3 linked regions of the Arabidopsis thaliana genome follow. The protein of the gene in region 3 interacts with the protein of the main gene of each other region in a pairwise test. Each region holds a gene or a part of one and is shown on either strand. Other genes may lie near its edges. The genes, in order: AT1G05020, CLC2 and AT3G11130.

Region 1 (8,279 bases), on a different chromosome or scaffold from region 3:
AAATATATGACAGCGACGTATATTATTACTCAGTCAGACGATTCATTGTTTGACCCGTTTTCTTCCTTTTACTTTTAGTGTGGATTAATCTTCCTTTTCACATTTCTTCCTTTTACTCTGTGTATAATAATAATAGCTTATATATCACCTTTCACTGAACCTTTTCTTGTTTTCAAGTAACTTAAACAAACTAATGGTTGGTTTTTGTTAAAAAAATTTGTAGACCGCATCCATCTAAATCATAATAATATACAAAATTATTTAGTCTTATGACACAGCAGTTTTCATTCGTTTTGTATTAATTTTGATGGACCAATAGTGGTTTATTTGTGTCCGTTGATTACGAAGCTGCTCTTCGGCCGGTAACAACATCTCTGTATGCACGTCTATATTAAGAATCATGAGCTATCACTTTTGGCCGTTTATCAGATCTAATAAAATTTCCCATTTAAGCGGAGAAGTTCAGATTCGATTACGTGGTTCCCTCTTTGGCCCAAAGATCACCTCTAAGAGTTGATAAGATATTTTTCTTTCAAATTCTTATAAGGATTTAAAAGCAAATGCAATGGAAAAAAAAAAAAAAAACATTCATTGCCTTACTTCCTTTCTATTTGGAGAAAGGTGGATCACCTTTTTTTTGTTTTTGTCTTTGATCAACATTCATACTTTGTTATAGAAAAACTGATATTTGATAATAGTAAGACATGCTTAACTTTATTTTCCACTTCCTCAGTCACAAACAAATCTCACGTCATTATTATGGAGCCTCAAAAAGTATAATATCACAGACGGGTTTTGGCAACTAATGTATTGATTTGAAATTTCTTAATATTTGCTATTTTATGGGACTATTTTAAAGTTGATCAATAAGCAAAACAAATAAAGAAACGTGTTTTATTTCATGTTGACTAACATTTTGACTCGAAAGCGAAACTTATGATAGAAAAATAGGCTTAGCAGCCGGTGTTATATTCAATCATGTATGACTTGTAAGCAAATTTTTACTAAATTACAAAACAACAACTTGAGAAGTCAAGAAGTTAAATCAACTTGTAATGAGAAACCTAAGAAAGGTGGAATCCTAAATTCACATATACAGAAGCTTTTACCACTGTCAAAGACGAAAACGACTCTAGTCAATGGCCAATGGGGGATAAAATTTGTGGTGTATAACTATTAAAAGAATTAATATTTGTGGTGGGCTATATACTAGAAAGAGATGTGTTATGATGATTTTGGTTTGGTAGATCTTTCTCCCTCGTGGCCTTGGGGTCAAGCTACAGCTTTGGTCAATCTCATGTTATCGACACCACAAAGCCAACTTGACCTACTAGTGGACCTCCTTAATTTATTCCATTTGGCTTCCCTCTTCGTTATCTTCCACCGATATACATTCATTTTATCATTCGCATTATCACGGATGCATATCATAACACATAAATACATGCATATCGGAAAATAAAATGCAAAAAATTGTTTGCCAGATATACGCATCTAATACGCATATCGGATACATTCATCTAATACACACACATTAGATGCATGCATCTGTTGTGTGATTATGTGAAAACTTGTTATATTAATATAGACTAAAAATGAATACATAAATATTTTCAAAAATACATAAACTAAATGCTACATAACATCATCACGATGATCAAAATGCTAGCTAAATTTCAATTCCCAAAAACTTCAAAGAAAATAACATATTCAAAAGTAAATCCCAAAGTGTACCGTGTACGTAAATGTATTCAGAAGGTGAACTTAGATATTTGAGTGTTATTCGTTGAGATATACTTGAAAATCAAATTCTCAATGTGATTATGATACAAGACACACAAAATACATCGTGTATACACAGGAATGCAAGTACGAAGATAGAATCCGCGGAAATATCTTTTTAATCAAAGAATTTCTGAATTTCACATTTCTCTAAGTTATGGAAAAATGAGTTAAGAGTTAAGTTGACAATGTAACAAAAGAAAAACTCAAAGAAACATCTCAACCTCTGTCTAGCCAAATAAATTTTGTATCAACTCAAGTGCTTGGCTATGATCTTTTTCTGGTTCTGCAACCATATCTGCTGTTCTTGCAATACAGATTGCTGATTTACCCCTCCATTTTCTGAAAATGTCTCTCCGAACCCAAAACTCTCAAATGTTGTAAACGGGTCACATTTCATAGGCAAAGTCTCCGTGGCCTTAAATGTTGGTGTAGAAGACGGCTCAAAATCATCAGGAACGTTCACCTGAAATGTCGGTTCTGGCTGAAACCCTGTCAAAGCCAAGCCACCGAACGTGATCATTGGTTCTCCGGCTGTAGCTAACTGCGCAACTGGTTCTTCCAAGAATGGGTTGTATTGGTCCGTGGCGGCTTGAAACGCAGGCATCGGATCATCTAACCCGAACGGTACTATCGCCATCGAGTTATTACCCTGCACCTGCGTAGCAGTTTCTTCTAACGCAAGCAACCAATTCCCTGAATCTCTCTGATGGTCCTCAGCGGTTGAAGGTTCCTCCTCAATCGTTTCTATCTTCTTCTTCGGATCATCTCTCAACATCAACGCCTCCCAAGGATCGAAAGTCTCTGCCTTTGAATCGTCTTGCTTCTTCTTGTCTTCAACATCTTCTGCTTCTGCCGTGTTACTTACGTCATCCAATGACAATAGGTCTAATATGAGATTGGAAGCAGAAACAGAGGGATTATTGGGAAGCGATTTAGTCGAAACCGTATCAAAATTATTCCCATTAGGATCATCTCGTCCTCCTCCGTATGGCTCAGAATGACAAGACATTGGAGGACTACTAGTCCCTGCTTCAGTCCTGCTCATCAAATCCTCCAACGAAGTACTACGAAACGACCCGTAATCTGAATACCTCTCCGACGTATCAATCGTGGAATCCCCAAAATCAAGCGAGCTTGAAACCGCTGAATCTTTGGACGATGGAGGCGGAGGAAGAAAACTATTCGGTGACGGATACAACCCTGAGCTCGCTGGAAACGACGATTGATCTTTTAAAAACTCTTGCAATGTCTCAAGAAGCTCTAAAGAGATCTTTTGAATGCTAGGATACTCCGATGTTCTTCCTATACCGATCGATTTGGAAAGATCGTAGAATGCGTTAAGCTCTTCGAACTGTTTCGAAGCTCGAACACAAGCTTGAAACGCATTGATGCAAGATTGGTATTGCAGATGGAAGAAACTGTCTAACAAAAGCGCTAATCCATCGGAAATGTCTCTGTAAAGATCAAAACTCTCTTGCATGACGGCGTAAAGCGACATTTTCACGAGCCTGTTGGCTTTCGCGTCTCCCGTCGGCCGCGTCGCGATTGCTCTGTCTAGTAATTTTTGCCAATACGTGATTTTGTCAAGAAGCATTACCGGTTTCATATCTCGAACCGCCGGTTCGTGGGATTTAATTCCGGCTTTGGGATTAAACCGGGATCTTGTTGTTGAGTTGGTGCTGATTCTTCCGGTTTGTTCTCGGTTTGTGTACCGTCTCTGTAATTTTCCGGTGAGGAAGCAATCGAGACGTTCGTCGAGGTAAAGCGCGAATGTACGGACGAAAGCAGTGAAATCCCAAGGGCACGAGTTCGAATCGTCGCGGAAGCTGGAGAGATTGAGGATTTTGGCGCCACGTTTCATGGCGTGGAGGACTTCGCGAGGGAAATAAGGATCACCGTCTTGGAAAATCCTGAGGACGAGGACTAGGGATTTGAGCGCGACGATCCAATTCCGTGTACGCCCGATACGGCGACCGATCGCGGCGGCGCAAGAGGCGGCGTGAGATTTCTTGGAGGATATGATTCCGAGGATTTCTGTTACGAGTCGATCGTCGATTGGGACTTCCTCGTCGTGGCTCGTAGCTTTCAAGATCGCAACTTCGAGAGTCGTGAGATCGCCGCCTCCGGTGGCTCCGTTAGCAACTTTGGCGAGGCTAATGCTTGTCTGATCTTTAACCGCACCAATCGCTTTTTTAAGCTTGCTCGGCATTGTCCTCGTCGTCGCGCTTTTAATTTCACCCAAACGTCTTCTTTGTTCCTCAAGGGGTTTTAATTTCTTAATCACTCTGGATTAGCGATTAATCACGAAGAATTAAAACCAAATTAGAAGATTTTCCTCTAAATTTTTTTCCTCTCTCTAAGGATTTTTTTTTCAATTTTTGTTCTTCTAAATATAGAGAGGAAGGCAGAATAAAATGGCTGGAGAGTCTCGAGACCCTTTCAAGATATAGCGTTGACTAATAGAGAGACTTCACACGCGATTTTGGCGCGTTAAATATATAATTGTGTTTAAATTCTTCTTCTTGTTAGAAGAAAAAGCATGATGCATAGAATTGTGTTCAAATTTCGAAAACTTATTATAATACAAATATCTTGTCAGTGTATTTATGTTACAAATTTTTTGATCGGCTAAAAGTAACATTCTCTCACAATTCCTTAAGAGTTGTTTCTACGAGCCTCATATTCGTATAGGTTATAAATTCAATGACAAGCTGTGTACGCTTTTTTTTTTCAGAGAACCAGCTAGCATCTTTATATTCAATATTCTTGGGATAAATTTAATATTATCAGAAATCTTTATCTTTGTTTGCAGACGTGCAAACCAGTATTATATATGAATATGAATATATAGAGATCATGAGTTATGGACTCACGATTTTCACCATGACATGGTAAGCATGTATAGTCTAGATCGAGACAATGTTACTACATTAAGCTATAAATCAAGAACGTCTTACCACTTGTAAATAGGCACAAACCTTTCATAAGTATGTATTTTGTGTAATCCTTGTCAACTTTCTTTCGCATTTTTTATAAATCTTTTCTTACATACCTAAGTATATCTATATACTCACAAGATTTCTCACAAGCTAATTTCCAGGCTATTTACATTTTACAACAACTGATGAAAAACTGATAAAAATTTTGAGGTCTTTCTCTCTTTCTTTCACTTATACCGTTTTTTTTTTTAACTCAGGTCGTCTCTGGAGTTCAAAGACAGTTCGATCTCTTCTAGTGATCGACCCTTTGTTTCCACCGTGAAGAGGTGTGAGAATGCCGCTGCCAACAATGATACTGAGCCAAAGCTGGCATAGACCGTTCCAACCCCGTATTTCTCCACCAGATCCAGGAAGAACAAACCAACCAAGAAGTTGGAGACCTGAAGAACATTTGCTTCGTCATTCTTCAAACTTCAAAAGGTTATAAAATGATTTATGGGAAAACTAAAAAAACACATACCCAATGTACAGAGAAGCTGAAACCCATGATTTTTCCACGCGTTCTGTTGCTGCTTAGCTCAGGGATGATGAGACCTGTTACAGGACCAGCTCCAATTGCAAAACTGAATATATACCTGTAACAGGACCAAACATATGATACGTTTCTGTCTTTTTTTGGGTACTATATGAGCTGAGAAAAGGAGACTAGTAATTGCTGGACTTCAAGCTACTTACATGAGTGTTCCAAGTATTGACAAACTCTGGCTCAGATCTTCATCCAAGGGGAAACCAACAGCATAAACAATAAGAAACATAGAGACTGCCTGTGACACCAAATCAATTCAATCAAAATAAGCTAAAGCAGTGAAAAGCAAAAGAGTTTATGTGATAAAAGAAAAAGATATTTACCATTCCCAAGTAGCTACCGATAAGAAGCTTCTTTCTTCCTTGCTTATCAATCAAATAAGACGCACACAGAGCACCTATTAGACCCAACAGTTCAGAAAAGGGACATTGTGATGGAAACAGTAGAAAAAAACAATCATCTAAATTTAAAGTTGATATAGGTGAGACTTGAGAACCTGCAAAATTTGTGACTCCAACATATAGACTTGCTTGAGCACCACTCGTGATTCCAACATTTTGGAATGTTAAAGATGAGAAATAAAGAACGCCATTTATGCCCGCGAATTGCTGTAGGACAAAAAGGGAGCCCCCAATGAATGCAACTGCAACCATTATATCAACAAGACATACAATTTAGCTACATAGATTTTTCATGTATGAAGTTATATATTCTCAGTTTCTTAGATCAAAGTCCTGGAAAAGGTTATTCTTAAACTTGAATGTTTTCAGTTTCTGATTTATGGTATAATATAACACCCTTAGAAGTTAGAACTAACATTAAAAGCAACCTTAACATGACCTCGTGAATGTGGTTTATCAAGGAGTTCCAGCCATCTGCTATTTAAGTTGGAGCCACTATTCTTCATAACCGACTGAAAATCTTCTACAGCTTTCTCGACTTCAGATCCTCCCCAGATGTTTCTTATCACTACTTTGGCATCATCAAGTCGTCCAACCTAAACAAGTATCATGAGACACGATTTCAACATGGAAAATCAATGCTTCCTCATGATTAAAAGAGGCGACTTATACCTTACAGAGCCAACGGGGACTTTCTACTGCAAATTGCATACCAAGTGCAAGAAGAAAACCAGGCATACTCGCTACATAGAGCATTGTCCTCCACCTGAACAGTAGTATACATGAGGAGAATGAAGTGAAGAGTGAAATGTATAGATAGCTAAATGAAGCTCACCAATGAGGGTCATCTTCTGCAGGAATCCCTAAGAGAAGAGAAAAGATTATCCCGAGACAAGTGCCAATTTGACATAAAGTTCCAAGGGAACCTCTGTATTTCGTCGGAGCAACCTATAGAATAAAAATGGTTGGCTTAATATCAGAAGTAACAAGACTCTTCAGCCGAACATATGAAATGCAAAATATGCTAAGCAAAAGAATGCTAAACCACAACTTATTGTACTGAGAGTCTGAGAGTACATAGGATCAATTTTAAGAAATGTCCTAGATCTTACAGCAGAAGAAGCCAAATAGTTAAAACATGAAGTTGAAAAGGAATCACATATTAGATTACCTCGGATATATATATTGGAACAAGAACTGTGTTGACGCCAATACCAAGACCAACAAGAAATCTTCCACATAAGATCTCATCCAAGGAGTGAGCTTGTGCACTGAGAGAAAAAGTAAAATTTAGTTATGCTGCTACCTCACAACTTAAAACATCATCATGGAATTGTTACTAACATAACGAAATCAAGATTCACCTTAGTAACAAGATATTACCTCACAAGGGCACCAAGAATGAGGGGTATCGTGAAAATCTGAAAGGTGCGTCGGTAGCCAAACTTGTCAACTAGTGGACCGGCGACTATGCTACCAATAAATGCACCGGCAATAAATATGCTCACAACAAGACCCTCAAGAATAGAATTGCCTTCAAACCCAAGTTCACGCGCAATAGACACGATGGGGCCATTCATCACTCTGCAAGAACAAACTGATAGTATTATAAGTACTAAGCTTTCGAAAAACTAATCCAGATCAACCTGACTAACTCATATTCTTCTCACTGGAAGCTAACAAATTGTCAAGACGGGGACAAATCAACACTCTGTAAAAACAATCTAATCAACATCTTTGTAAGCTCAAATTGAAGCTGTTTCTCACCAGCAATGTCAAAATGAAACTTTTTTTCGAATTCTGTAACACAACCAAGCATTAACACTACTACACGAACAGAGATTAATCTTCTGGTATAGAAATCAAACTAGGCCAGTGAAACAAACAACAACGACTGTTACTTCACAAATTTGGCAACAGTGAATTGGCTATATTATTACCCAATGTGATAACCAAAGAGAAAATTGGCCATAGAAGCAACTGATACATGAGGAAAAGCCGATAACCATCCCAAATCAGCGGAGAATTTCTCCGGCGGAACTGGCGATATCTCGTGATCGTCATCTGTTAAAATTTTGAATAAAGTTAGAATATTTCAAACAGATAAACATTGGCAAAGAGATTGGTAAGTCAATGGAGGTGAGAAAGCTGAACCTGGTTTCTTCGTCGACAATGTCGTAACCCGCTTCTTCCTCTTTGAAGACCGAAAGAAACGGGAAAAGGAAGAGGCTTTACGAGAGTGGGCGAGTCGGGTCGGGTAAGAAAAGGTTAATCGGTTCATAGAATTGGGTCGATATAGAAGTACGGTATTCGTCACCCACATGATCGGAGAGCTAGACTAGACGGAAGAGAGAGAAATACGTCGGCGAAGCGAAAATAATAAAATTTGAGGCGACGGAAAATAATAAACTTGTAAGCACGTGACACTCACGTGCTCAAATACTGAGTGATTTCCTTTTTAGGAATGTGACAAGTTTAGGCACTTTTAGAAAATTTTATTCCATTTGAGGCACTTTGCAGAGATGAGGCATTTTTTCAACTTTTTCATCGAATTTATGACAAATTTGC
Region 2 (7,419 bases), on a different chromosome or scaffold from region 3:
ACTTAGCTTCTCTTCTAAAGCTTACTTAGCCTTATGCCTGATGTGAAATTCTTGGTTGAACAACGATGTAGGTTGATAAGCACACCATCTTCTCAGACAGCAGGTGCTTCTTTGTTGTCTCAACTGATGGGGCCAAACAGGACTTTTCATACCGAAAATCCCTCAACAACTATTTGATGAAGAAATACCCTGACCGTGCTGAAGAATTCATTGACAAGTACTTTACGAAACCTCGGCCTAGCGGAAACAGAGACAGGAACAACCAAGATGCCACACCACCTGGGGAAGAACAGTCTCAGCCTCCGAATCAGTCTATAGGTAATGGAGGTGACGACTTTCAGACACAGACTCAGTCTCAGTCTCCATCTCAGACTCGGGCTCAGTCTCCATCTCAGGCTCAGGCTCAGTCTCCATCTCAGACGCAGTCTCAGTCTCAGTCTCAGTCTCAGTCTCAGTCTCAGTCTCAGTCTCAGTCTCAGTCTCAGTCTCAGTCTCAGTCTCAGTCTCAGTCTCAGTCTCAGTCTCCATCCCAGACTCAGACTCAGTCTCCGTCTCAGACTCAGGCTCAGGCTCAGTCTCCATCATCTCAGTCTCCGTCCCAGACGCAGACATAAACTCTTGAGAACCAAAGAAGATTTGGTTCGTTTAGGTAAACCATTCAGTCTCCACTGTTTTGTTTTGATGTACATAAAGAGTGGAGAGAATGGCGGTTTTTATCATTAAAAGACTCTGATGTGAAGTGCAAAACAATGTGTAAATGCAGTTCTCTAGTTTCAGATCGTTTGTCCTAAAATCAGGTTTAGGGTTTCAGTGACCGGTTTAGTTATAAAGTCTAGCGGCATTGTAGTGATGTTTTGACATTGACTATTTATCGAGCAATGCATTTGCCATCTCATTTGCTTCTTGTTTGAAACCTTCGAGAGACGAAAATGATTGCCTTTCTAATCGCATAAGCACATGGTTAGAAATTATATCTTGTGTTGACCGATGCAGCTCCTCCGGCAGAAAATCATCTAATTCAAAGAGCTCTTGTGTAATTGCACGAATTGAGAAATCAGTTTAGTTTTATGAAATTGAAATCAATAATAGAGAAATTACATTTTATTCAGATGCATGGATACATTGTTTAAATACATTCATATGAACATTCAACACGGTAGCCTACATCATATATTTTCCCTATACAACGGTTCTTGCAAGAACCACATAATGGTCGAGAAATATTACATTTGGGAAGAACTTGAACCCTGCATACCCATTTATTGAAATATTGACCGGGCTTGATATATGGGTCTCCACCAATTAAGCATTCAATATGAAAAGTGGTGCAACACTCGTTGCACCAGTAGAATACTTTTGTGCATGTATCCTTTAAACTACGTTCACATATTTCACACCATTCTTGCTCACGTACTTCTTCACCAAATGAAATTGTGAGGAAGTGTGTGTCATGCTTATATTTTATTTTGTATGGTAAGGTAACACACTTAAAACATACAATGAAATTGCATTTGATGCAATTTAATTGTTTTAAACATTCTGTTTTGCATATATGACATATGGGTTTTATTTCTGGGTTTAAAGCTAGGAACAAGGGATCTTCATGACCTTTGTAATCAAACGGCTCAGAAATTAAAGCGCACCTTACATCAAGCTTGAAAAAGTTGCATACCTCCATCCTACAGTGATAGGCAAAGCCAATAGAACCACGATCACAAGCGTTGCAACGGAAGGTATTGTAAGTAAAGCTATTGATAACCTCCAATACAAGTGGGTGAGGATGTAAGGCATGTTGGATTCTACGGGGAGCCTTAGCACATGTTTCATGGAGGATGAAATCACACTCCATACAAACATATAAGTTACCTTCATAGATAGGAATGGCACACGCTTGACAAAGCATGTTTTCATCATAAACGTTGCTGACCTCGAGTCGGAGATGATGATTATGATGAAAATAAAGTATCACTCCTTCAGATATCACCTCGAACGGTCCATCATTTTCTGTTATATCGATTATCTCTGGTATACCTTCGAGTTCTTTTCCATCCCACACATCTTTCCCAAGAGCGCATATTGAATGAACAACATAATCGCTACACGTGTCACAAGTATATGCACCATAATCAACGTTAATACTTAAACGGCAAACTCCACAAAACCATTCTCTAGATGTAAGAGAAAAAGTGAACGAGATACGATGACGGTGACGTGATATCTTGATGATGTGTGGGGAATTCATACAGTCATTATGAGTTACAAAGTTACATCTGAAACAAACGTAGGTGGGATAAATTTTTCTCAACAAACCACAAACATTACAAGTCAAGGAAGTTTGTCTGGGGAAAAAAGTGAGAGGATGGATATGCTTTTTTGGTGGGTCTATAAGAAAAGGTATTGGCTTCATCGCACATATGGGATGCATAAAAGCCTGGCATGTGGTGCAATGATAAATCAACCAATGTGCTTTTCTTCCACAACATAAACACTCAATCTTACGAAAGTTATCATCATGAAAGAAAAGTTGGAGATAGTGCTCAGGGTGGTAAGGATGTTTGATTATAAGTGGAGATTGAATGCATTCTTTGTGTAATTTTATGCTACAATAGTTGCAGAAATAATAGTCGGTGCCGGAATTTGAGCCTTCGCATATGTAGCATCCACCATCAGCATCAAATTCTTTATTGTTGCACCAAAACAAAGGGAGTACATGATGATCATGAGAGGTCGTCGTTGTAGAAAGGACGTACTCGGGGGAAGAATTAAGCGGATAAGTGTCTGAATACGACTTGATTTTTCGACGTCGTGATCGAGGGCATAAGAAAAGAGGTTGAAGGTCACTGGAGGAGGTTACGGTCTGTGTTTGGGGTATGGGGCAATATTTCGGATGATGGTATACCAAAACAAGGTTACCATCCTTTTCCACCTCATAAAATCCTCCGACGCTAGAATCCATGAATGTGTTAAGTCTTTGTTTATTTTTGTTTTAGGCTTTTATAAAAAAATATTTGTCATACAAGATATCAAGTTGTTAACATTTTTCCTCTATAAATACGAAAATTTGATTCCAAAAGTTTTCTTCTACTCTTGATTATTAATATACTTAAACGTGAAAACATATGGTTGATTTTGTTCCTTTTCTCAGTAGTTGTGATGATAATGTTCTTCTTTACATGCAAATAAAGAATCAACTTTTCTTTGCACATAGTTTTGTTCATTTCTGATGTTCCATGACTTCAAGACTCTATATTAATCGTGCTCAATGATTGTGCCAATTCATTAGTAGTGTATAATTTGAGACTTTGTGAACTCAATCACGAAACACACAAAAAGAAAATGAAGGTTTATTCAAAAAAAAAAAAAAAATGAAGGTTTGAAATGGAAAATGAAACAATCGTACCAAAACCAAATTGCAAAACGTTTTAAACAAGAAAAGAAGAACACGTAGTTTCAATGATCCGGTTGAATTAGAAAGTAGAACAACCGAACCCACACTAAATTGCAAAACGTTTTGATTAAGATAAGAAGAACACGTATGGAACATTAATTGTAATCTAATGGATCGGTTGGAACCTAAACCATAACTAAACCGGAATACTCATGATGAATTGGAAGTATTTGGGCTCGAAAAAAGCCCATTAAGAAAAATGGAAATAAAAATAGTCACAAATCTCCGTTATTAATTTTTGCCATAAGCTTGAGAACACTTGAAAAGACAAGATTCGCGAGTTCTTCGTTCTGCCTTTTTTTTTTTTTTTGTGTGTTCGAGAGATGTCTGCCTTTGAAGACGATTCCTTCGTCATACTCAACGATGATGCGTCTGAGTCTGTTCCAGTCTCAGGCTCTTTTGACGCCACTGATTCTTTCTCAGCTTTCGACGGCTCACTCCAAGTCGAGGACTCCGTCGACGATGTTTTTGCAGCGCCGTCTTCTGACTACGGTGCTTACTCCAACGGTGACGGCATCTTCGGATCCAACGGGGATCACGACGGTCCTATCTTGCCACCACCGTCGGAGATGGAATCAGATGAGGGATTTGCTCTTAGAGAATGGAGAAGGTTAGATCTACTCAAAGTTTTGATCTTTGTTGCTTTTTGTTTACTTCTTCCTGAAGAAAATCGATAAAGTGGATAAATTTAGTTGAGAATCTCTTTGATAATCTGAGAATTTCAATTTTGAATTTTGATTCACAATTTTTGTGAATTGAAGTTATCTGCTAGTTAGTGTCCATTGTTCTCAGAAGTAATCAGTTTATTAGATTGGATCTGTTACTTTTGCTTAGAGTTTATTGCTCAAATCGTGTGTTCTAGAATAACATCTTGATCCGTAAGCTTGTAATGCTTGTTGAGTTGATTAAGATGTATAGATCTGATTTCGTGCTATGGCTTTATTATGTTTATGTGTAGACAAAATGCAATTCAACTTGAGGAGAAGGAGAAGAGAGAAAAGGAATTGTTGAAGCAAATTATTGAGGAAGCTGATCAATACAAAGAAGAGTTTCATAAGAAGATTGAAGTAACTTGTGAAAACAACAAAGCAGCTAACAGAGAGAAGGAAAAGGTTTGTTCTTTTGCTAAAAGATTTGAATTTTTTATCATCTTTTCTCAATCTGTGTTGTTGTCATGTGGTTTGTGGAGAATTGTCAATGCAAGTCAATGGCTTGTTGATATTAAAATTTTCAAACTTTGACCATCTTAGTCTTAAGTCAACTGTGATTGATTATCTTAATGCATTGTCAGTTTTGAGATTATCTTAATACATTGATTATCTTCATTACGTGTGTGATCTTTGATACCTTTTTATCTGCATATTGCATTGTTACAGTGTTGATTAAACTTTCACTTATGTGTTTATTTGTCTTTGAACACTTAAGCTGTATCTGGAGAACCAAGAGAAGTTCTACGCGGAATCCAGCAAGAATTACTGGAAGGCAATAGCAGAGCTAGTTCCTAAAGAAGTTCCAACAATAGAGAAAAGGAGAGGAAAAAAAGAGCAACAAGATCCTAAGAAGCCAACAGTCTCTGTGATTCAAGGTCCAAAGCCCGGTAAGCCAACCGATCTAACAAGAATGAGACAAATATTGGTGAAGCTCAAACACAACCCACCTTCTCACCTGAAACTCACTTCTCAACCTCCATCGGAGGAGGCGGCTGCTCCTCCAAAGAATGTTCCCGAAACCAAGCCCACTGAGGCAGTTACTGCTGCTTAAAAACCTCCTTTGTTTTCTTATTCGTTGCTTACATCTGTGTGAATTCAGTCTTTGCATTTCATTATGTGTTATAAACAGCTGAGAGATTTTATGGTTCATGTGTGTTATTAACATAATTATGTCATATTGGAATGATAACTTTTTATGTTTTAGTCAGTTACCATTGAATAGTGGTTAATATCTCAAATCAATCGGTTAAAGGATCCATCCATTTTAGGGTTAAAGTAGAGACGAGAGTGGAGAGGTTTACATAAAACATCAAAACGCTACTTCACATATCATCATTATCAAACTCGTGTGATAATTAAAACTCACAAACAATAAAAGAGAATCTCAAATGTGAACGTTTTACAAAAGGCTTTTCTTCTTTCTTCCTTCATCTCCCTTGTAAGCTTGCAGGGGACCTGCAACCTCTCTCGCTGCCTGCGTCGTCTTCCTTTTCACTTGCCTCTAAGCAAATGCCATTGTTGTTGCAGACACTGATCTCTGAGCTTGCGTTGCTGCTTGTTGCTAGTGGAGAAGAGTCTGAAACATTCATCGGTCTACCACGTGTATGTCCAGACCTCACACTGTACATTGATGATGCTGGAATATTCGTCATTAGTGGTCTCAGGTTCCCTGGAATAGTTCTACGTATATCCTGTTTTCATCAAAACGTTTGATCATCAGTTAAACGCAATTGCCACCACTTGAGGAAGAGAGAAGAGAGAGATACATACCATATGCCTTATTGCCATATCAAGGGACTTCTTGGAGAGCGTTCTTCCAAATCCTGCACTGTCGGGTGATGAAGACTTTGCAGACAAGTTACCATGAGGAGAACCCTTGTCATCTGATCTGGGTGGAGCAAGTTTCCGCATGTTTATTACTCTCTCCACCATTTTTGTTCCCATCATCACCGGACTAACATTGTCACTGGCTTTGGAATATCCACGATTAACCGCAGGAACAGAGCTACCACTAGAGTACATTGGTGCTCTTCCTCTTGATGGTGAACATGATTGCCTTCTTGGTCTTCCTCCTGGAGGGCCCCCTGGCTCAACTGAACCAGAACGAGAGCTTGGAGCTCCAGGTCTGCCTCTTGTCGCTGAAAGTGGCCTTTCGGGTAATGTTGTCCTTAGATTTGGAGGAGTTTCTAATGAGAAACCAGGCATGTCTGACGGCTTCCATGGTCTTGACCTCACTGTAGGAGATGCTGCACGAGATAAAGCAGGGTTCTTAGATGGTGTTGGCATAGGCTTTGCTGGCGCTGGAGAAGAAGGCTTGATTTGGGATATTGTGGGATTTGCTGTAGTAGTTGCAGCACTTGCAGAAGCAATTGGACGGCGAGTTGGTGTAGATGACCTTGATATGGTTTTAGATGGAGGAAGTGTGGGTCTTGAAGTTGGTGTTGAAGATCTGGCAGTAGATCTTGACAGAGGTGTGGTGGACCTTGAAGGACCTGCAGATTTTGTGGTGGTGCTAGGGGTAGATCTAGTTACTGAACCAGCAGATCTAGCAGTTGAGGTAGTCGGCTTAGATGCAGTAGGTGTGAGCCTAGATGATGATAAACTTGTTGACCTACTCATAGGCGTGGGCTTAGTCGTTGCAGATACTGTGGACCTCGAGTTAGTCAAAGAAGGTCGAGTAGCTGAGGAGACAGTGGCTCGCGAAGTGGGTGTTGAAGGCCTTGAGGATTTTGAATTTGCCGTCAGTGTTGATGATCTTCCAGTGGGTGTGGCAGGTCTTGATCCAGGTCCTCCAGATGATGAAGGTCTTCGACTTGCTCCACTGGAAGAGCTCAATCCAGGAGAAGAAGTTTGTTGTCTAGATGTTAGATGGTTCCTTGCAGCAGACTCTGTTGAGGAATTTGCCAGCTACGACAGATAATTCATAGGTTACCATAACGAAGTAGTGAAAATGTGCTACTCTAAAAAAAATCCAGAGCAACATCCCACATAGCAATAACGATAAATGCGATTTACTAGTGTAAATCATGAAACTTGAAATGTAAACGTCACAGACTGATGCGGCAGGTTAAACTAGTAGTGGCGATTCAAAACATATAAACAATAACAGCAGAGCTTTATTTTAATACTGGTTGCACTACATTAGGTTGTTTATCTAGTATCCATTCCAGGAGTTGATAAAAGAGGTCAGAACACTAAGCAATAACATTCTTACTCTGGAAGTCAATGTAGCCGGGCGACTCTTTGAATCACCAGTCTGAC
Region 3 (8,424 bases):
GAGAGTGCACTAAAAGGTCTAAGAAAGGAAGGTGAGTAGGGAAAGCACAGAGAAGTAAAAGGTGGCAACTCTTTTCAACCTTAGTTTGCAGAAAAGCATGCTCGGGTAAATTTGGCTTCAGAACATCCAGAAGGAAAGCAGTCGCTTCACGGATCAGATTTCTCTGAATATGCAAAAGTAAGTACATTAGCACATGATAGCTCTCTTGTGAAACAAGTAATGAGATACAATTTTATGTACACAGTATATTCTACGTGTTCACCTGAAGGAAAAGATCAGTGATAGTGTTGTAGTCAACTGGACAACCTCCTTCCATTTGGGACATCATTAAAGCAAAATTTACTGCTCCCTGCAATTAGCAGGAAAAAAAAGAAGATAATTAGCAGAAAAAAAAGACTATTGATCTTTTACAGGGCAAAAGCTTAGTTGCTTGATAAACAACAGCAGGCCAAAATTTATGACTCTTCTTGTGATTACGGAACAAGAATCTAGTAAACCAGTCCTTCCACAGTTTAATATGTTGCAAAGTATCAAAAGTGCAGCAAACTAACCTGAGGATCCGTACGGAGTATCGTTTGCAGAAGAAACATGTAATCAGGTGTGTACCCAACCTAGAGTCACAACATAAAACAATGGTACCTCTTGAGCACAATGACCTTTAGGGTAAACATAACAACGGAGGGGGCAAACTTTAAAACTTAATTGTTTACCTGCTTTGAATAAATCAATATTTTGTCAAACTCCCTTCGCTCTGCAAAAGCTGCAACGACTTTTGGAGTAGCTCTAGCTTTGATGTATATTTTTAGAGCAAGGTCATTATCCACAGTCTGAATCAGAAAATATTACCGTTACAGCATACTAAAGAAGCCCATAGGAGACACTTTAAATGAAAATGGTCATTTTAAGATTACTTTGACAAGGTCTCCGAGTTCTTCACTGCATTCTAACTTATCCTCTGCCAACCAGTTTTCCAAGAGGTTCTTTTTGTTTTGATTCACAACAAGCCGAGATAGTTCCAAAGACTCATATGAATTGAGCTTCCCTCTAGTCAAAAGGGTCCCAAAATACTGTAACAATGGAGGAGTTTGCCCTGCTTGTACAGGAACACTCTGCAAAATTGTAAAGTGTGATGTTGTAGTTTCAGACTGGTGTTACAAACATACATTATAGACAACATGTTCACAGAGGATTCTTTGCTTGAATATGGAACATATACCTGGAATTTGGCCACCGTATCAGGTGTCCGTAGAATGCCCTGAGGAGATTCAGCAGCAAGCTCAGCAGCCTCCTTGTACTTTGTTTGAGCAAATAACTCTTGGAACCGCTGGACAACCTGTAACATCAAAATTGAATATGAGGAACTTTGCATTAAGAAATGTAATTCGAGCAATGGGTTTAGAGGTCTAAGGAGTTTATGATATTTACTAAGTGTTTTTAGGTTAGTAGGGTTTAACTGTGTTTACTTTCAAGTAACCATGGTTTAAATAGGTTATGGATCTTTAGTCTCTATCGGTATAAGATGTCTTGGGAGTTTGGAAGAGGTTTATCATCAAATTCACTTAGTTTTTTGTAGAATTTTAACATTAACATGTACACCCTCCGTTTCAAAGTGTCATCTTACGATTCAATGTAAATTTTGTAATACATTTATCTATTTACCCCTATTTAAATATTAATTAACAATGTGAAATAGAATTTAAATCCAAGAGACAATTGTCTTCTAGGATATCATGTAACATTTAATTATTCTTTCATTTGCTTGAAAATGTCAAAAATGCACTTGTATATTGAAACGGAGGAAGCGTCAAATCTCGATTTCTAATTTTCTACATTATTGTTTCTATCAGAATGACCTTTTTCGTCAAATTGGCACAATAATGACTTCACCAAGAAAATAGATCCACACATCTGATCCAAGATAATTATCACATACCAGATTTTCTGCACCAGGGAGGTTTCCTCTTTTAGCAAGATTGACAGCAAGTTCCAAATTGTTCAACTGTAATATAAAGGCATAGATTTCTTAGCATGTCATGATGAATAGATAGATTATATAGAGAAGAACAAAGTAAAAGTTGAACATACTTGACCACTAATAAAAGGTATTATGGTGGCCTCATTTACTGTTGCCAAAAGAACTTGTCCTCGCCTATTAATGGCATAGAAACCCCCAACTGAGGAAGCTTCAGACGTTAAGAAAATTGGGTCCGGACTTATCCGATTTCTGTAGATAGCAGAAGCTGTCTCTAGATCATATACAAACAGCAGGCCAAGCTTGGTGATGACATAAATCAAGTTAAACTTGTGAGAGACCTGTTGGGAGAAAGAGAAGTCGGTGTCATGAATTTTTCACAAGAAACTTACTGAAGTTAATTGAACAGCTAATGCAACTACAAACCTGCATGGCCACAGGAAAATCATCAGCAAAATCTGGGGGGAAAAAGAGATCTGCCTGCTTTTTTGTAAATGATGGTTTCCCTGAAAAAAAGCCGCCCACCTTTAAACATCAGACTAATACCAACTAACAATAACCATGAAAATATAGAGCAGTAGTTTAAGCTAACCTGGTTGGGCACCAAGTTCAATAACATGCAGCTTTGATGTTATCTGCCCAGCATTAAAGCTCTTGCTTGCAAATGATATAAGAATCGAAGGATTCTCATTCCCAGGGACCTATCAATAATAATGTCGCTTGTCATACTACAGTTCAAGATCCGACCATGGAATGAAGTAGCAAAGGTATCACATAGTTTACCTTAAACTGAGCAAAAGATGCAGCATGTGCTTCAAGGGCCTGGCTCCGCTGTTGATCCACAGAGAAAAGCTGCATATTTCCTTTCACCAATTGTGGTCTCTACAGAGGATAATAATGACAAGATTCCGTCAAAAATATACAACATGACTGCCGTTATGATGTCTTAATTCAACCTAATACGTGGTGCAGGAACCCTACCTCAGGAGAGCCAGGGGCAATTCCAATCAAGACCAACCACTTCTCATTAGGAGAGCACTTATAGTTTATAATTTGATTGTTTGCCAAATTAGCCGTTCTATCAAACATCTTAACTGGCTCAGAATCACCTGGAAATATCGAAGCAAAAATGAGAAACAACATATACATGATATGAAGAAGCTGACAGTAAGTTAAAGATATAAAACCTTCAATTGACCAATGATACACAGAAGTTTGTGTGACCAGTCCCAGCATCTTAGGTGTGATCCACTTCCAAAAAGCAACCTATAATATCCAAAAAATTCAGACCAGTAAAATCAGAGTCTGTCTGAAGAGTACAACATGAAAGATAATCGGGTTACAATTTGTTTGCTTCAAAATTCACCTGCTCAGGCATCTGATGTGACTTCAACTTTGCCTTTGCTTCAATGTTAAATATCTGTAGATGATCCTGAGTAGTTCCTGGAACTTGAGCTATATACGATACGAATTTAAGAAAAAGTTAACAACAAATTAAGGAAGAAATAAGTAATAGCTTATACAAGGAAACATCCAGTACAAACCAAAATTTCTAGTTTAACTACACTAAGCTTGAGACACAACACTGCCACGAGAAATATAACACGTGTTGGAAAACAGAGAGCGCTATACTGATGTTTTCTACAGCATTAAACATGCTATCACCCCAAATCCAGAAAAAGAGTATAGGACTACAACATAAACTCGAAGAGTGTAGTTACACTTCCATACTACTTTAATAAAAATAGGTTTTCTATCAAGTGACGCATCACAACATGGACAGAGTCATTTAAACTTCAAATAAATCAAAACATCCTATCCGTAATAAATAGCATATGTACAGTTAACAAAATGAAGGAGAAGCTATCAATGGTAGTTCTGGAGAAAACTTTAATAGGAACCACTTATGGGTCTTATAACTGATCATACACTTCAAAAGGAGAATCTTATGGGTGTTATAAGTGATAATGCGATCGAAGGAAACAGTGTAATACCTTTTAAGGCAAGGATCCTCGAGTTTGGGTTCATAAGAGCAGAATCAGCAGTTATAGGCCTCCTTAAAGGCTGCATCGGCATATTCATATCGATAATTACAACACTGTTCTGCGGTGCCGTCTCTCGTACACATATGTACTTATCAGACTCCATAGTAACATTTGTAAAGGTGATGAACTGTTGACCGATCCCAACGCTCGGAAGCTGGAAAATTTCCAAAACAAAAGTAATCAATTGGCATAGTTCATTAACTTAGTTACAAGATCCGAGTAGATAAGCACATTGCGCAACACAATAACTTAAAACTAAGGACTATATACATTCAGATAACACAGATCTGAGCGTCCGCAGAGAAAATCTGATCAGAGAACTTGATCTCAACGATCGGGTAGAATTGAGAACAGAATGAAACTTGAATCAATCATATAACAGTGTGAGCAGAACCAAATCGATAGAAATCAGAGACTACAACTATAGAAACATGTTAATCGTCCAAAATTTTAGCTCGATTCCCGGAGATTTAAAAACAGAGAACTCACCGTTAGGACCTCCTTCATAATGATGGGCGCGTTAGCAGCCGCCATGTTTGACCTCAGATCGCGGCGAGAGAATCCGGGGCCAGAATCAGATCCACGGAAAGGACGGGACCGTCAACGGCCGAGCGATGCGAGAGAAACTAAGGAAGATTTGAAATCGCAGCCAGATCTGAGGCAAGTGAAGGAGAAAGGTGATGATGGTGGAGAGAGATTCGTTTTTTTCTTTTTGGAAAGTGAGAAATGACGAAATAGCGATCCAATCGGAGTCACTCGTCGAATATAAGGAGAGAAACCAAAGGAGAGACGACGTGCTACAAGTGCCTGAGCTGTACGATGTGCTTTTGCCAAAGTTACGGGTTCGGATAGTATTCGGGTCGAGTTTCAAACCGCGTAAATCGACGGGTCGGGTTTTGTCACGACACACACTACTTTTTGGGAATTTTATGCGTATGTTTTGAGCAATGGTCAATGACTCAATCATGGTTAAAAATTAAGATGAACACAAACGAGAACGAAGTTTGAAATAAATTTTCTAAATATGGAGATGAAACAAAAAAAAAAAAACTTTTTACCAAAAAAAAAAAAAGATATACGAAATTTTCTATTATATCTTATCAAAATTAGGGTATGAAGACCAAAATATTTAAATTTATGTCGATTTAAGTGTTGCATGAAAAAATCGTATAAGAAATTTACGTCGATTTAATTAGTGTTTAGTGAAGATTGTATTACTTATAATTTTAACTCGAATTAAATGATATAATCAATTTTGATGTATATAATTCATTCTCACAAGAAAATTAAAGAGCAACACCAATATGGATCACTAAATAAGTAAACATGTATACGTAGATTTGAAGTCATTCATTGATATTCTGCCTCAATGAGAGATTAAAAGCCAACACTGTATTTCCTCATTTTCAAAAACAGGATGCTATAAGCGTTTGTGTCACCTTCTAATTATAACAAATAATCAACATTGGAAAACAAAAGTTATGAAGTAGAATTTGGTTATGATCTCAAAAGACTCAGTTTTAAAGTACATCATCAAAGTCATAGATTCTTCTATATAAAATCTAGGAGTTGAGTTTAGTGTGATAGAGTCATTGGTGTAACCTAAAAGTTTGATTTTGAAATAGTGACAGTTTTGATATGAGTATATATGAAAAAATTAGTTGAATGATGGAGTGACTATCAAAATAGAACATTCTCTGAACTGAATCGAACAAAAACAAAAATATCTCAATGCTAAAATGCTAACAATCCGCTGAAAATCAAAAGATTTTATGGGGGAAAAAAAGTAACAACAAGAACTATAGTACCAATTCAACCCAAGAAAGAAACAAACAAATCAAACATCGGTTCGTCAATCTTTTAAAGATTTGATTCTGTATCTGTCAAGTGGATCCCTGAAGAAGAGACGTTCTTGGTACACTCTCCATGCGTACTCCTTGAAACTAAAAGGCCTAAATGCCCTTCTCTCATCACTTCTTGCTCCTCCATCTTCTTCCTCCTCCTCTGCATACTCTTCTTCTTTGTCGCCGTCACTGATCATATCCTTCAATGATGAAACCATACTGTCCATGGGAAGTGTAAGCATCAATGTCATTGTTACACACTTTACTGGACCATCTTTTTGTCCTGAACACAACACTGGTCGATATTTCACTCTTTTGACCTCTCCATTTCTCCAAACCTGCCAATTTTAAGTTGTTTGTTAGCTGTTCAAAAGTTGAAAACTATATTGTAGAAAGCTGTTAGGTTTTGACCTAAAAAAAAAAGAATTGTTGAATTCTATAGGACACTAAGTACAATTGCGATGTGATGTGTATAAGTATTTAAATATCGGAAATTTCCAAATTCTTATTTCTTTCCCAATGCCATAAATCTGTTTCAAACGAAAAGTGAAAACACATTCCCCGGTTATGCTCCACAATTGTTGTTGTTGTCAACAATAAATATCGGAAATATCCAAATTCTTGTTCTCTTTTTGAACGATGCGTTGGAAAACATTTATTTTGGATAATGTTTAAAATACATTAAAACAGCCAGTTAACGGTATAGTGGAATAAAGTTCCATTACAAAGGATGATAATTTGATAATTATTTAAGGAAGACAACTAACCAATTAATTATAGATAAATAAAAGAGATATATGTGTTCTGTCAATTGTCAAAAGCAAAAGAGAACTAACCTGAGCAATGTCACCCAACGTCACAAGAACCGAGTCAACTCGGGGTAAAACGGACACCCAACCAGACTCGGTTAGCAAACAATACTTCTGTTCCCTTATCTGATACTGTAAACAAACAACAAAAGGATAAAATCCGTTGGTTACCTCCGGTTCATCATCAGGAACACCTTGGTTAACCCACATCAGAGTATTAAACCGGGTTGAATCATATCCAAACCCAAGTGCATTCGCCAGCATCTCTACCGTCTTCAGTCCAACTTTCTCTAGAGTCCGAGTGAACTCACGGAGCGAACTCAGATTTAACTCGCTCGAGTCGGTTGAACAGTCGGCGTCAAGGCAAAACGATGGCGTTTCAGCATCGGCTTCGTAGCCTAGCGGCCATTTCTTCGGAAACGATGATTCCTTCTTCTCTTCACTGAGCTCTAAGAGCGAGAGTGAGTCAGACTCGGCTGCTTCAGCGATCCCAGGAGGGAAAAGAATATCGGAGTCATCGTTAATGAGTTGGAAATAGCCGAAATCAGTCACGGCGGAGATAAGATCGTCCCATTCAAGTCTATCTCCGGCGGAGAGAGATACCATCGGAAGAGAAGGGATGGAGCGACGGTTGGGGAGTGAAAGCAAAGGAGGGAGACGGTGGAAAAGACTGGAGAGAGCGTCAACTGCTGTCTCCGATTTGCTGGTGGTGTTGAGATGTGAGCATGACGGGGTCGGAGGAGGCGCCGCCGTGGCTCCACCGTGCTTGATCAAAGGTTGGTGGTGGTTGAGGTGAGCTGAAGAGAAAGCCATTGAAAGATGGATGTGACTTTGGAAGAGGCAGAGCGTATATGTGAAAACATATGTATAACTTGCGTGTACGCATGGAATATATAAGGCTTTACTCACACGTGCGGGATTATGTATAACCTAATTTTCTACCATCTTATTTGTAAAAATTAAAAACAATATCACCATTCACCAAGTACATTTATCATGTTTTTTTTCTTTCAATGACATAAGTTTTGCATATTTATTTTACAATTATTATGTTATTTTTTCCGATAACACGTTTTTACATGCTTGTTTAAACTAGAGGCGGCAAATATTATTTATATGTGGGTTTGCCATTACAGATTTTAGCAATTTTGTTAAGAAAATTGTTATCTAACAACATAGAGGAATGATTAATTACGGAAATTTGTTTTTTGGTTGAACCGATAAATATTCTTATATGTGTTTATTAGTATTTTAGAATCGCAAAATGAAGGAATACACAAATATAACCAACAGACAAGAAAAACATGATAAAATCATCTTTATACAAAATTGATATTTGTTGAATTGTTGATGTGTATAATGAGGAAAATATGATACAAACTAAGTAAAAGATCTTTTGTATAGTAAAAATTTGGGAAAACGATTCTCTTTTTTGAAATTACCACAAATATTATATTTTACTAAACATGTATTTCCATGTATGAGTAACCTCATCTGTACGTGTATCTATTAGAATCATAAAATACTTATCATGAGAATGTATCTGCATAAATAGATGCTGCTAGCTAGGTGTACAGAGAAATACTAAAACAAGACAAATATATAGTTCGAAATTCCTATTTTGGTAGTGGAAAATTAATAGAAATAATATTACATTTATTTGGATGTAAATAAAAATAATAACTTAAGGGATTTATTTCGTTAATAAGAAAAAATACCTATTAAATAACCAATCAAGCTAGTGTATGGAATGC

What was found.
Region 1: the proteins of AT3G11130 (region 3) and AT1G05020 interact in a two-hybrid assay, tested with the Arabidopsis thaliana proteins (one study listed by BioGRID).
Region 2: the proteins of AT3G11130 (region 3) and CLC2 come close enough for resonance energy transfer, tested with the Arabidopsis thaliana proteins (one study listed by BioGRID).

The regions. Positions count from the first base shown.
Region 1 is NC_003070.9:1,433,352-1,441,630, forward strand, and holds AT1G05020 (ENTH/ANTH/VHS superfamily protein), read right to left. Parts: upstream 4,413-8,279; 5' UTR 3,995-4,412; coding exon 2,033-3,994; 3' UTR 1,804-2,032; downstream 1-1,803. Other genes in the region: AT1G05030 (Major facilitator superfamily protein), read right to left, coding at 4,973-5,164, 5,245-5,359, 5,460-5,548, 5,634-5,707, 5,807-5,953, 6,151-6,307, 6,384-6,477, 6,547-6,659 and 4 more. UniProt on the Arabidopsis thaliana protein: Adaptins are components of the adapter complexes which link clathrin to receptors in coated vesicles. Clathrin-associated protein complexes are believed to interact with the cytoplasmic tails of membrane proteins, leading to their selection and concentration.
Region 2 is NC_003071.7:16,722,793-16,730,211, forward strand, and holds CLC2 (Clathrin light chain protein), read left to right. Parts: upstream 1-3,631; 5' UTR 3,632-3,771; coding exon 3,772-4,058; intron 4,059-4,406; coding exon 4,407-4,560; intron 4,561-4,873; coding exon 4,874-5,209; 3' UTR 5,210-5,415; downstream 5,416-7,419. Other genes in the region: NRPD1B (nuclear RNA polymerase D1B), read left to right, coding at 72-614; AT2G40050 (Cysteine/Histidine-rich C1 domain family protein), read right to left, coding at 1,127-2,956; AT2G40070 (flocculation FLO11-like protein), read right to left, coding at 5,586-5,849, 5,929-7,065, 7,373-7,419.
Region 3 is NC_003074.8:3,487,117-3,495,540, forward strand, and holds the start of AT3G11130 (Clathrin, heavy chain), read right to left. Parts: upstream 4,950-8,424; 5' UTR 4,552-4,949; coding exon 4,507-4,551; intron 4,172-4,506; coding exon 3,967-4,171; intron 3,428-3,966; coding exon 3,339-3,427; intron 3,239-3,338; coding exon 3,160-3,238; intron 3,082-3,159; coding exon 2,954-3,081; intron 2,855-2,953; coding exon 2,756-2,854; intron 2,674-2,755; coding exon 2,565-2,673; intron 2,479-2,564; coding exon 2,399-2,478; intron 2,314-2,398; coding exon 2,086-2,313; intron 2,000-2,085; coding exon 1,934-1,999; intron 1,334-1,933; coding exon 1,217-1,333; intron 1,110-1,216; coding exon 912-1,109; intron 828-911; coding exon 711-827; intron 612-710; coding exon 552-611; intron 350-551; coding exon 263-349; intron 164-262; coding exon 80-163; intron 1-79. Other genes in the region: AT3G11150 (2-oxoglutarate (2OG) and Fe(II)-dependent oxygenase superfamily protein), read right to left, coding at 5,870-6,199, 6,698-7,483. UniProt on the Arabidopsis thaliana protein: Clathrin is the major protein of the polyhedral coat of coated pits and vesicles. Mediates endocytosis and is required for a correct polar distribution of PIN auxin transporters.